Sus scrofa: one gene and its partners. The protein of the gene in region 2 binds, or shares a complex with, the protein of the main gene of each other region. Links are inferred from orthologs where the notes say so. Each region holds a gene or a part of one and is shown on either strand. Other genes may lie near its edges.

Region 1 (3,648 bases), on a different chromosome or scaffold from region 2:
AGCCTTTCAAATGGCCCCGATAAACAGTAAACTGCTTAAAATGAAGAACTCTGCTAGAATAACTCTGCTCTCCTAACCTTATTCCTAGAAGACTACCTTTCAAAAGTCAAGCTAGGATATCTAAACTTAAATAAGAATTTAAGCTACAAGAGGGCAATGATTTTTGTCTGTTTTGTTCAATGTTATGTCACCAGGGAGTATCATATTATTTAAACCAGTATTTCCCAAACTTGCCCAATGATAACCAACATTCAGAGAACTTAGCAAAATATGGATTCCCAAGTCCCACACCTGGACCATTTAAGTCACAATCTCAAGAGAAAAACCTCTGGGTTTCACCATCAGATATCATATTCTACTTCAATTTTCATGTACATATCAACTTCAAATCCAGTTTACAGTGAATTCCCAAACACTGATCTGGACCTACCAATTCTAATTCTTGGACTTGGGCAAAAGAAAACAGAAGACATAACTATAACACTAGGTTATAATGACCATGACCAACTTTTCTCAACACTATGTTCCCCGGTGCTGACACATTCAGTCTAGGCAATCAATGAAAAAGCCAATTTTCATCTTTCTTTGAAATATCCAAGATTCTGTTCATGTTCACGGTTCTTTCTCCACATCACATGGTACTGGTTTTATCCTCCAACTGACCCTCTCTAGTTAAATATTTTCCACTCTATCCTTAAACATCTCTTAAGACATTAATGTTAGTATGAATGGTAGCAAAACTATAGCAGTATTCTGTATAAGAAAAAATATCTTTCAAAGATTTTAATAACAAAGCAGTTATTAAAACAAAAATGTTTCTAGAAAAAAAAAAATGTCAACTTAACCAAAACTGAAAAACACTGATCGGTGTCCTCCTACTCACGTACCGAGATCACAACAATACCTTAGTAAAGAACAATGTTCTAATGATGAACTTTGAAAAAAAAAATAACATGCAACCAAGGAAATAGTAGAATACTAATCTTAAAAAGGGTTATCTTTCCAGGAAAGGAGAAAAGGCAATTTTGAGAACTACACACTTATAAAAGTTACTGTCAGTTTGAATAGATGAGAGTACCTTGTACCCTTTACGAAATTCCAGAAAGTACATTATTAAATCCAACAGAGTGAAACAGTCATGCTAAACATAGCCATACTACTGCACCATTGACCATCTAAAATCATCAGCCCTGCTTTTCTTTAGATCTTATATGCTAAATAGCACATCACAGAGAATGGGAGGTTCTTACAATGGCACCACCATTCATTGTCCTACAACTTCTTTTACTATTTTTCAAATCAGATGTTAGATCATATGACACAAGCAGAGGCTGTGCAGTAGAAGAATAGCGCAGTATAGTAACATACTCAAAATGTATCAAACATTTCCCATCTTACAGTTTGTAACCAATCTGCCCTCACCCCCAATCAGTGGAAACTTCCCAAAACTATCAAGACTACTCCTACCAATGATATAGAAGTAGTATAAGTAAGGAAACTGGGTTCTGATCCAGATTTGAGTAAGAATTCAGATTCTGAATTGTTTCTAAAAGAAATACCAGGCTCAAGGCTACTATTACTCCTCCTATATATAACTGATAAAAAGTTCTATGGGCTGACTAGAAACATAAGCATTATAAAATACTGATATGAAAGGAAAAGGCACTCAAGTTTCTAAAAAATATTTTAGCACTTTTGATGTGTAATCTACACATAAACTGAAGTATGACCATAATAAAAATCTCTTCACAAGAAGAATAATTATTACAACAGAGACATGTATGTTTCAAATTCCAAAGTTTGAAAGCAAAATTAAGATACGGTTATTTATTCTACTGATACTTTCAATACCCAATTTTCCAAATTTCAAAGTAGTGCCAGTCGTACTTTTCAAGTAACATCTCTAAAACTCAAAATATTAGAATTTAAAAGTCTTCTTTATCCTGATTTTTTTGCCCCATTTAAAAAAAAAACAAAAAAACAAAAACACCTTGTGAAATTTAAGGTTTTAAGTATTTCCAGGATAACGATACCAAATTTAATTAGAATTTCATTTGTCACATTTCAGGGAAATTCACTTCTAAAATCAAACTAAAACAGGTTTGAATTATATTTATTTCCCACTTACGTCAAATTAAATTTAAAATTAAACTGCCAAGTTGAAGTTCCTGGAGGGTATTCTCCTTGCTCATTCATAAATGTCAGTCCTAGCTGAATTATCTTTAACAAGTCTACATTACACCGCAATAGTTGGTACTGATAGTCGGCATTACTCCTGAATTCTCCAATGGGTCTTGCAACCACACCTGGAAACTCGGTGTCCTGTAAAATATTTTAAGGTTTATTATTTACTAAATGGTTGAAAGCACAATCCACAAATAATTAAAATAATTAATTTGGGGTACAAGTCAAAGACTCTTGATATAGGTGATGTTCTACACAATTCATATTCGATTACAAAGTACCTTTTAACTAGGAAGAGCATTACTTTTTAGAACCATAAAATAAAACTCTCCAAACTTAAATGACTTCTTACTTTAAATACTGCATCAGTAAAAAAATTACTATGTGTAAGATACACACAATACATGCAACTAAGTATTCCCAAGGAAGGAGGAAAAAAATCACAAATACATGTTGCTCACAGTATTCTAATGCTAAAATCAATGAAGAACTGGTTAAAAAGAATAGAAAATGCATCATACTTTCCAACTGCTTTTCTGAAATAAGGTTTATCTAAACACCAAAACCTTAATTTCTTGTGCTAAACAGTATTCTTTTTACAGTCCAAAGAAAGCATGACCTTAAAAACTTCATGCCACCACTTATTCCTGTAAAATGTTATGGCATCTCTAATGTTTTTCATTCCTTATCGCCTGAGAAATAAATTATCTGAATGAATTTCTACTGGAAAAAAATAACTTCAATTCTAATTATGGGTGAGAACATCTATTATATAAAACATTATCTATGTACACTCAAATATTTATATTTTAACAAACTACCTGCTCCTCTCAAAAAAAGCATATTTATTTTCTTATGTTCAATATACTAATAATACATCAGTTTAATATTAAAATGCAAATTAGGAAACTAAAAACAAAACCTAAATAACAACTTACTCTGAAGCAGTAAAGAAATTAAAACTTTTCTAAATTCAGTCCAACTCAACAACCACTTTATTGGATGCAACGTGTTAGGCTAGGTATTGGGGGTGGGGGGAGAAAGGATGATTAAGACACTAATCCCTTCTTGAAGCTAATAATCTAGAAAACAGCAGGTTCACCAAGACAGTGCCAAAGAAGCAAAATAATTAACTGAGTAGACAGTCTAGGCAGACTGAATAGTATATGCAAAACTAGAAACACTTAACAGCACAGTGTGTTCATGGAAATCCACTGATTAAAAAGCAAACACAAAACTGCAAATCAACAATGCTTCACCGGGAGATCAGAATTTTTTGGTTTGAGAAAAGACAAACAGGAGCTCCATCTGGTATTAACATTAAGCCTTAGTGTTGCTTGGAGCAGACCTGGCATTCACAGCTAAGTCCTAAGGTTCTTCTGCTGAATATAAACAATTTCACACTCTTAACATCAGACAAGGCCACTTTGTAATCATGACTGAACATATGTAAAAGCACAAACA
Region 2 (3,648 bases):
CATAGAATTTCAGTTGACATTTAGTCTGCCCTCTGTATCCTCAGGTTCTGCATCCTAGGATTCAGTCAGCCCCTGGTAGAAAATATTCAAGGGGCAAAAGAAATTCCAGAGAGTTCCAGAAAGCAAACCCTAAATTTTGGTGACTGTTTACATAGTATTTCCATTGTACTTATGTAGTATTTACATAGTACTTACAACTGTTTATGTATCATTTACATTGTATTAGGTATTGTGAGTAGTGATTATTTATAAAGTATAAGGGAGGATGCGTGCAGGTTCTATGCAAATATTACACCACTTTACTTAAGGGACCTAAGTACCTTTGGATTTTGCTGTTCACAGCAGGTCCTGGAACCGTTCCTATTTAATTACATTTGCATAAATAAATTTGATGAAATGAATCTTCAATTAAAATTTTGTCTTTAAAGAGGTGAGTTGGAGTTCCCGTCGTGGCTCAGTGGTTAACGAATCCGACTAGGAACCATGAGGTTTGCGGGTTCGATCCCTGGCCTTGCTCAGTGGGTTGAGGATGCAGACGCAGCTCTGATCCTGAGTTGCTGTGGCTCTGGCGTAGGCCGGCAGCTACAGCTCCCATTAGACTCCTAGCCTGGGAACCTCCATGTGCCACGGGAGCGGCCCTAGAAAAGGCAAAAAGACAAAAAAAATAAATAAAAATAAAGAGGTGAGTTGAGGTGGCAAGGAGCAAATGCTAATTTGAGCAGATTTAAGATAATTTTAAAAAATAACTATTAGAGAAATTGTTATACGTTTTTGTTTACAGGCTTTTTACCTCCTATAACTCCACCAGAAAAGTTTTTTCTTTCCCAGCTGATGCTGGCACCCCCAAGGGAACTCTTCAAAAAGACCCCTCGACAGATTGCCTTGATGGATGTCGGAAATATGGGCCAGTCCGTGGACATCAGCGGGCTTCAGCTGGCCTTGGCCGGTAAGGAGGGATCCTGCCTCAGGTGGTCTTGTGTGGTAGCATTAGGCCTTTTTTCTTGCGATGCTCCACTTAAAATGAAGGTCTTTATGCCAAAATGTATTTTCCATGAAAAGCATAGATTTGGTACTGGATCCTTGCTGTTATGGGATAGACATATCATTTTCAGTTTCCACTTGAATCGATTGCTTTCCTTATTTAAGAAAAATGCTGAATAAAACTTGGTCTATTTAAAATTTCCTGGATAACATTTCTACTCAAAGCAATCTGCAGATTCAGTGTAGTTTCTATCAAAATCCCAACGGTGTGTTTTGCAGAAATAGAAAATTCATATGGAACCTCAAGGGACCCTGAATAGTAAACAGTGCTTTCTTGGCTCCTTTGTTGAAAATCATTTGAATATATATGGGAGGGTTTATTTCTGGGCTCTCTTTTCTATGTCAGTTTGTCTTTATTCTAGTACCACATTTTCAGGCAGGGTAGGTCTTTTTTTTTTTTCTTACATGTAAAAAAGGTTTTATTTAGGGAGCTAGACACCAATCCAACAAGCCATACGGTAGCTTTTTTGAAATCAGTGTGTGAGATCTCCACTTTGTTCCTTTGTTTAAACATTTTGGCACCTTCTGTGTTACATATACAAGCAAATATAGAGGTGTTCTTGAAGCCCACTTGTGATGTGATGGAAAGTAACGGGACCAGAGTTCTTGTTGTGGCGCCTTAAGCAAAAGTTGAGATGCAAGGGTCTCATCGCCTAAGAGTGCTTCAATGGGGAAATTCTGATCTTTAGCCAGATCCATGAACCCATGACCTTGTGAATACATGAGCTTCAGGGTTAGTTTTGACAGCACACCCTCCTTCTTGGACTTCATGCACCTGTGACATTTGGCATTTTATATAAGGTGACATCTTTCAATAAACTTTTCCTTGGAGTATTCTCTTTTTTCCTTCAGGGTTGCATCCATGGAATATGGAAGTTCCCAGATCAGAGGTCATGTCGGAGCTGCAGCTGCCAGCCTACACCACAGCAGTGCCAAATCTGAGCCATGTCTGCAGTCCACACCAAAGCTTATGGCAACCCCAGATCCTTAACCCACTGAGCAAGGCCCGAATTGAAACCAAATTCTCATGGATACTATTTGGGTTCATTTCTGCTGAGCTACAATGGGAACTCCTCCTTGGAGTATTCTAAACCTCATTTTTAAACTACTAGTTTTTTTTTTTTTTTAATGGCCACATCCACAACACATGGAAGTTACCCTGCCAGAGTTCGAACCCTTGCTCCCAGCACCTCCAAGCTGCCGAAGTCATATTCTTTACCCCTGTGTCACAGTGGGAACTCCTAGATACTAATAATATAACAATTTTCTGTGACCAAGAGAAATCTTTTTCAGACTTTTAAGATTGAAGGTTGCATGGGTCTCATGGTTTGTGTAAAAGTGCTTATTAGCCACAATGCCAGATGCAGTCTATTTACAGACATAAAGCAACTGTTTCCTTAACCACAGGATGAAAACTGGTTGGAGAAATGATGAGCAATTTCAGTCCTACTTTTAGAAGCAGTGTATATTCTGAGGGTTCTGGCTTTGTATTCAATAAAGAATTGGATCTGATCTCCTTTTCAACTGTGATGACCGATCAGCCAATGCAAAACTTTTAAAGTTATGTCAAGCTGAGAAATAGGTGACCAGAATTAGGACGGAGAAGCCTGGCACAGCAGCTACCCTCTTAAGCAAAGAGCCCTAAGCTCTTTGCTGTCCTCTGCCCAGACTGAGGATGTCTTAATCCAGTCTTTTCACAAGTACTTAAGGAAAAAAAAAAAAAGTGCATGCACCATCTTCTCTGGCGCTGGCTACACAGCTGATCTCTACAGCAGCCGGCCTGAGATTCAGATGTCTTCATGGGATCCACGACCAAAGTGTATTTATGGCTGATGCGGTTGCATTTTCCTAATTCTCAGAAAACAAGCAGGCAAATTAAACAGAAATAAATACAAGGGGCAGAATTTTATCTTGTTAAAATTTCTGCAAAACACCTACGCTTGTACCACAGTGTGCCAATTTAAAAATGTTGTCTATATCTTGGTCAATAGTATGTTTCCTACCTTTTGTATTTCAGCAAAATGAGATAAAAAATTGCATTTTTCCTATGAAGTGAATAAGGTTAAACATCTTTTATGTCTCTAGCCATTTTTCCATTGGGTTAATGGTCTCTTAAAGCAGATCTGGAGCAGCCACCATTAAAATTGAGAAGAGCAATATTAGAGTTCCCCCTGTGGCTCAGTGGGTTAAGGATCTGGTGTTGCTGCAAGCTGCAGCATAGGCTGCAGATGCAGCTCGCATCTGGTGTTGCTGTGGCTATGGCATAGGTTGGCATCTGCAGCTCTGATTCCATCCCTAGCCTAGGAACTTCTGTGTTCTACATGTGTGGCTGTAAAAAGGGGAGGGGGAAGGAGGAATATTTTTAGGACCTAGAAGTTCCCTGTGCATTTCTCAATTACTGCCCTCCAGCCCCATTATTAACCTGAGTTTTCTGTTAATAGTTTGCTGTCTACTGTCTAGCCCTCCCTCTTGAGCATGCCTAGAGTTTAACCATGCTTGTTCCTGATATCTGTGTATGTGGAAGCACACTGTATTTATTTAGGCTTTTTTTTTTTTTTTTTTTTTTTTTAGGGCCGCTCGCATATGAAAGTTCCCAGGCTAGGGGTC
Region 3 (4,328 bases), on a different chromosome or scaffold from region 2:
GGGGACAACATATTTCAAAAGCTGGAAGTTAATTCCACCAATGCCAAGGAAAAAAGCCAGCTGGGTGCACTCTTCAGTTGAATGTAAAGATATATATATGATCTGATAAAAAAACAACATTAAATAAGGCGACTGACCCTGGCTAAGCTTGAGGCCAAGGGCACTGTAACAATGGTATTACTCAATTGATAGGCATCTAGGTATGTCAGCATTACTCTAAGGAATGTAAAGAAGTTTGAGGGGAGCGTTCCTGTCCTGGCTCAGCGGAAACAAAACTGAATAGCATCCATGAAGATGCAGGTTCGATCCCTCGCCTTGCTCAGTGGGTTAAAGATCTAGCGTTGCCAGGAGTTGTGGTATAGGTCGCAGGTGTGGCTCAGATCCTGCGTGGCTATGGCTGTGGTGTAGGCCAGCAACTACAGCTCTAATCTGACTCCTAGCCTGGGAAACTCCATATGCCAAGGGTGTGGCCAAAAAGAAAAAAAAAAAAAAAAGAATTTTGAGGGAGTTCTTGTTGTGGCTCAGCAATAACGAACCTGACTGGTATCCATGAGGTTGCAGGTTTGATCCCTGACCCTGCTCAGCTGGGTAAGGATCCAGTGTTGCTGTGAGCTGTCATGTAGGTCTCAGACTCAGCTCAGATCCTGAGTTGCTGTGGCTCTGGTGTAGGAAAAGAATATAGTTCCCACTTCCATATGCCAAAGATGCGGCTCTAAAAAGCAGAAAGAAAAAAAGAGTTTTGAAACTTGGGCTCATGGAGTGAGTGGTATTATATGCCTGGAGGCATTTACCTTCTGCCCCACTTTCAAAATATTTCAAACACAAATATGTATTTTAGCTTTTCCTACACATTTCCTAGCTTAAGAAATGTACCTTGTTAGATTTACTTAGAATTGGTAATAATAGAAAGGTTTGTCTAGCTAAGGATATCAGCCTGCCTGGTTCTTACAGAGACCCATTTTGCAACCAATGTTTCTGTTTTTTTATACCTATACTCCCCCAGCTGAGAAGATGTGTTCAAGCCTTACTTTCCATAGTCTGTAGTTCAAAAACAATCGTTTTGGAAGTTCCCTTGTGGCGCAGCAGGTTGAGTTAAGGATCCAGTGTCGCTGCATTTCCCTTAAAATGTGAAATTATATTATTGACTATGTTCTTTTCCACCTACCCTTTGATTCCTTTGGTGCTTCTCCCTGCCATCAGCGGTTTACACAATTGTTCCAGTTTTGCAATAGCCTAAGTGCAACATAAAATCCGTTGTTCCACAAATACTCCAAGTTCTCTGGAAATACAAGCGATCAGTGTGTTCATTTTACCTTTACCTTCAGTAACCTGAGAAATGAACACAGTTCTGGGAGAGGGGGTATTGTGGGGTAGGAGATGGAGTGTGTTTCCTGTTTGATTGTTTCAGCAGACACCAGGACCAGTGCTGCAGGAAAAAACAAGCTGTTCCTCACATGACTAGATCCCCAGAGGGCTATCCTCTCCTGAAAGTAATTACAAGTGTATGAAAGGACATTAGAAACTCACAGGACGGGGGAAAGGAGCGTCTTGCCTGCTTTCTCGGCACAGTATTGCTGAACAGAATGATTAAGTCTGCAGCACTAACACAGACTGGATATCTCACGGATGACAAACTGAGGCAGGCCAGAAACACTTCTTTTTTCTTTTCTTTTTTTGTCTTTTTGCCTTTTCTAGGGCCGCACCTGAGGCATATGGAGGTTCCCAGGCTAGGGGTCCAATCGGAGCTATAGCTGCTGGCCTACACCAGAGCCACAGCAACGCCGGATCTGAGCGGCGTCTGCAACCTACCCCACAGCTCACGGCAACGCTGGATCCTTAACCCACTGAGCAAGGCCAGGGATCGAACCCGCAACCTCATGGTTCGTTAACCAGTGAGCTGCGAAGGGAACGCCTAGGAACATTTCTTGGTTGAATACACTTATATATCTTCCTTAGTGCGGTGTGGTTTTCCTATGTATTAACACAGACATTGTGTGAGATTGTTACTCATATCTCTATGTTATGGGAGAAGGAAACAGACTCATCAGGAGGGGAGAAGAGGAGGCGTGTTCAGAAGGTGCATTTGATGGGTTGGGAGTGCACTTTCCTGGAGACTAGCCTTTGGGACTCTAGGTTAGAATTGCCGATGAAGGCTTGCCCTGCCTCCAGCCTGGGAAACGGATGTGGGGTTTTAGAGATTGCTTTTAGGAGGTAATGTTTAAACGTAGAAAGGCGCAGTGATTCGGGGGTGAATTTGAAATCCACTTATCAGCAGCCCCCTTCGAGTGGAGGCATCTAGGAGTGTAACTAGAGCCATGCTCTGCGGAGTCTGCTGCACCGTCCCTCAGGGATAGAGTGGAGTTTCTGAGCCGGTGACTGAGGGCGGCCTGGAATTGTCAGCTGTGTGCGGGAAACCAGCGCTTTGTCTTCTCTCCCACAGCTGGAGAACGCGAGGCAGCGCTGAACCTTCCCCGCCTGGTCAAATACTGCCAAGGACAGGTGTTGGCAAAGAGCTCTCTTCTCAAATAGGATTCACAGTGAATCGGAGGGAAGGTGGGGGCTAAAAGGATACTGCTAAGCGAGGCCGGGGCACCACTGCTCTCGTATGGAGGATCCCACGAGCTCGCCTAGCGTCCGCCAGGTCTCGGAGGTTCTCCGAAAGCGGGAGGGCGGCAGCGCTGGCCCAGTGCCTCCCCCACCGGGCAGCGTCTTCTTTGTTACCCGAGCAAACCCCAGCGGGCTGGCTGCTATGGTAATGCTGGCTGCCCAAACCGGCGAGGGTGGGAGGAGGGAGGCGGGCCTCGGCGGACGTCACCCAGACTCGGTTTGGGGGTGCTGGCCCACCCACAAACAATTGTTTGCCGGAAAGGAAGCTTAAGGCAGAAGTTTTGTAAGTGGGGCCGCGTTAGTACAGAAGGAAGGGGGTCAGGAGCTCCCCCAGCGATCCTGCCCCCAACTTCGCTCCCGGCAACGATTTTAACGGTCTTTCAAAGAAGGGAGGAAGGGACTTTGGTAATTTAGGGTATTTGGTCAGACGGGCCACACCCTTTGCTCTAGCAAGGCACGCCCCCCGCGGGGATGGGCTAGTTCTAGACCACGCCCCTTCCCGAGCGCGCGGAAGGGGAACCGACATGGAGGGGCGGTCCTCAAACTGAACTGAACCGACGCAACTAATCGCGCGTAGGCTTGGGGTGGGTGGAGGCAAGGTTCCGAAGGCCTCCTCCGAGGTTGCCCCGCCCCGCCTTTTTCGCGACTCGCTCTTGGTTTTGCGCCTGCGCGTCGCTCTCGCGAGCTCTCGCGCTGAGCGAACACGGACAGAGTCTCCGGGGGCGCGCAGAAGGGGAGGGGCGGAGAGGGTCAGGCGCGCGCGTTTGCTGTGACGCGAAGAGAGCAGGCGAGTCGGGCGGATCGGATGGATAGAGTGGTACGACCAGATTGTTTGGTGGGTGGTGCGTAAGGTCGCTCTGGGCACGAGGGCGCCCATCTCACTAGGCCGCTTGGTTCTAGGAGCGGATCCCGGGCAGGGTGAGAAGAACGTCGGGTCGGGGCAGCTGCTACAGCTCCCGGGGAGTCTGCCCCGCAGCCCGTCTGCCCGCGCTTCGCGGGCCCTGCGGGTCAGGGTAAGCGAGCCCGCGCTAATCAGAGAGGAGTGTGGGATGAGAGTGTGTGGGAGGCTTTAAGGGCCTGCGGGAGGAAGAGGAGTGTGAGTATGCGTGAGGGACTGGGTGTGTGAAAACAAAAAGAGGCCCATCGAATAATAGCCGTAATAACTACCACTGCCACACGGTAATATTCTAGTGATGTGTGCCCGGACTTTACAAAGCACCTTGTATGTTTCATTCTGTTAACCTCTACTGCAATCCTCCAAGATGTTTACCGTCATTAAACCCATTTTACAAGAAGGGAAAACTGAGGCACGAGAGAGGCTAAGTAACTTATGCAAAGCCAAACACAGCTAGTCCATGTCCTGATTTCGAATTTAGGTCTGTCTCAAAAAAAAAGGGGGTAGTTAAAAGGAGGTGGAGAGGGCTGAGGGTGGTTTTAAGTGGAAGAGTCATCCGGAAAGAGAATCGAAGATAACGGGAGACGGTGGGAGGGAGAGGACCAGAGTTTGGAACCTTGCGGGCCGCCTCCTTCCTCCTGGTTCTTGCACAAGTTTTCCTTTTCTTTGGCTTCGTGACCCAGAGCTCTTGGCTCTGTAGGAGCCAGCTCACAGGCCTGGGCCACATGAGTGGTTTTAAGAACTGGTTGAACTGCGGTTCCGTCCAGGGTGGTGTCTTGGGACACTGTTTGGCTGGGGCTCCTGGGGGCCGGGGAGGGGAGGATGG

Evidence for each region.
Region 1: CNOT11 (region 2) and CNOT7 share a complex: the UniProt entries of both Homo sapiens proteins name them as parts of the CCR4-NOT complex. The link is inferred for Sus scrofa from reciprocal best matches to the Homo sapiens genes CNOT11 and CNOT7.
Region 3: CNOT11 (region 2) and CNOT8 share a complex: the UniProt entries of both Homo sapiens proteins name them as parts of the CCR4-NOT complex. The link is inferred for Sus scrofa from reciprocal best matches to the Homo sapiens genes CNOT11 and CNOT8.

The regions. Positions count from the first base shown.
Region 1 is NC_010459.5:4,943,578-4,947,225, forward strand, and holds part of CNOT7 (CCR4-NOT transcription complex subunit 7), read right to left. Parts: intron 2,323-3,648; coding exon 2,129-2,322; intron 1-2,128. UniProt on the Homo sapiens protein: Has 3'-5' poly(A) exoribonuclease activity for synthetic poly(A) RNA substrate. Its function seems to be partially redundant with that of CNOT8.
Region 2 is NC_010445.4:53,074,725-53,078,372, reverse strand, and holds part of CNOT11 (CCR4-NOT transcription complex subunit 11), read left to right. Parts: intron 1-781; coding exon 782-946; intron 947-3,648. UniProt on the Homo sapiens protein: Component of the CCR4-NOT complex which is one of the major cellular mRNA deadenylases and is linked to various cellular processes including bulk mRNA degradation, miRNA-mediated repression, translational repression during translational initiation and general transcription regulation.
Region 3 is NC_010458.4:68,349,210-68,353,537, reverse strand, and holds the start of CNOT8 (CCR4-NOT transcription complex subunit 8), read left to right. Parts: upstream 1-1,517; 5' UTR 1,518-1,639; intron 1,640-3,376; exon of another isoform or gene 3,377-3,424; intron 3,425-3,436; exon of another isoform or gene 3,437-3,620; intron 3,621-4,328. UniProt on the Homo sapiens protein: Has 3'-5' poly(A) exoribonuclease activity for synthetic poly(A) RNA substrate. Its function seems to be partially redundant with that of CNOT7.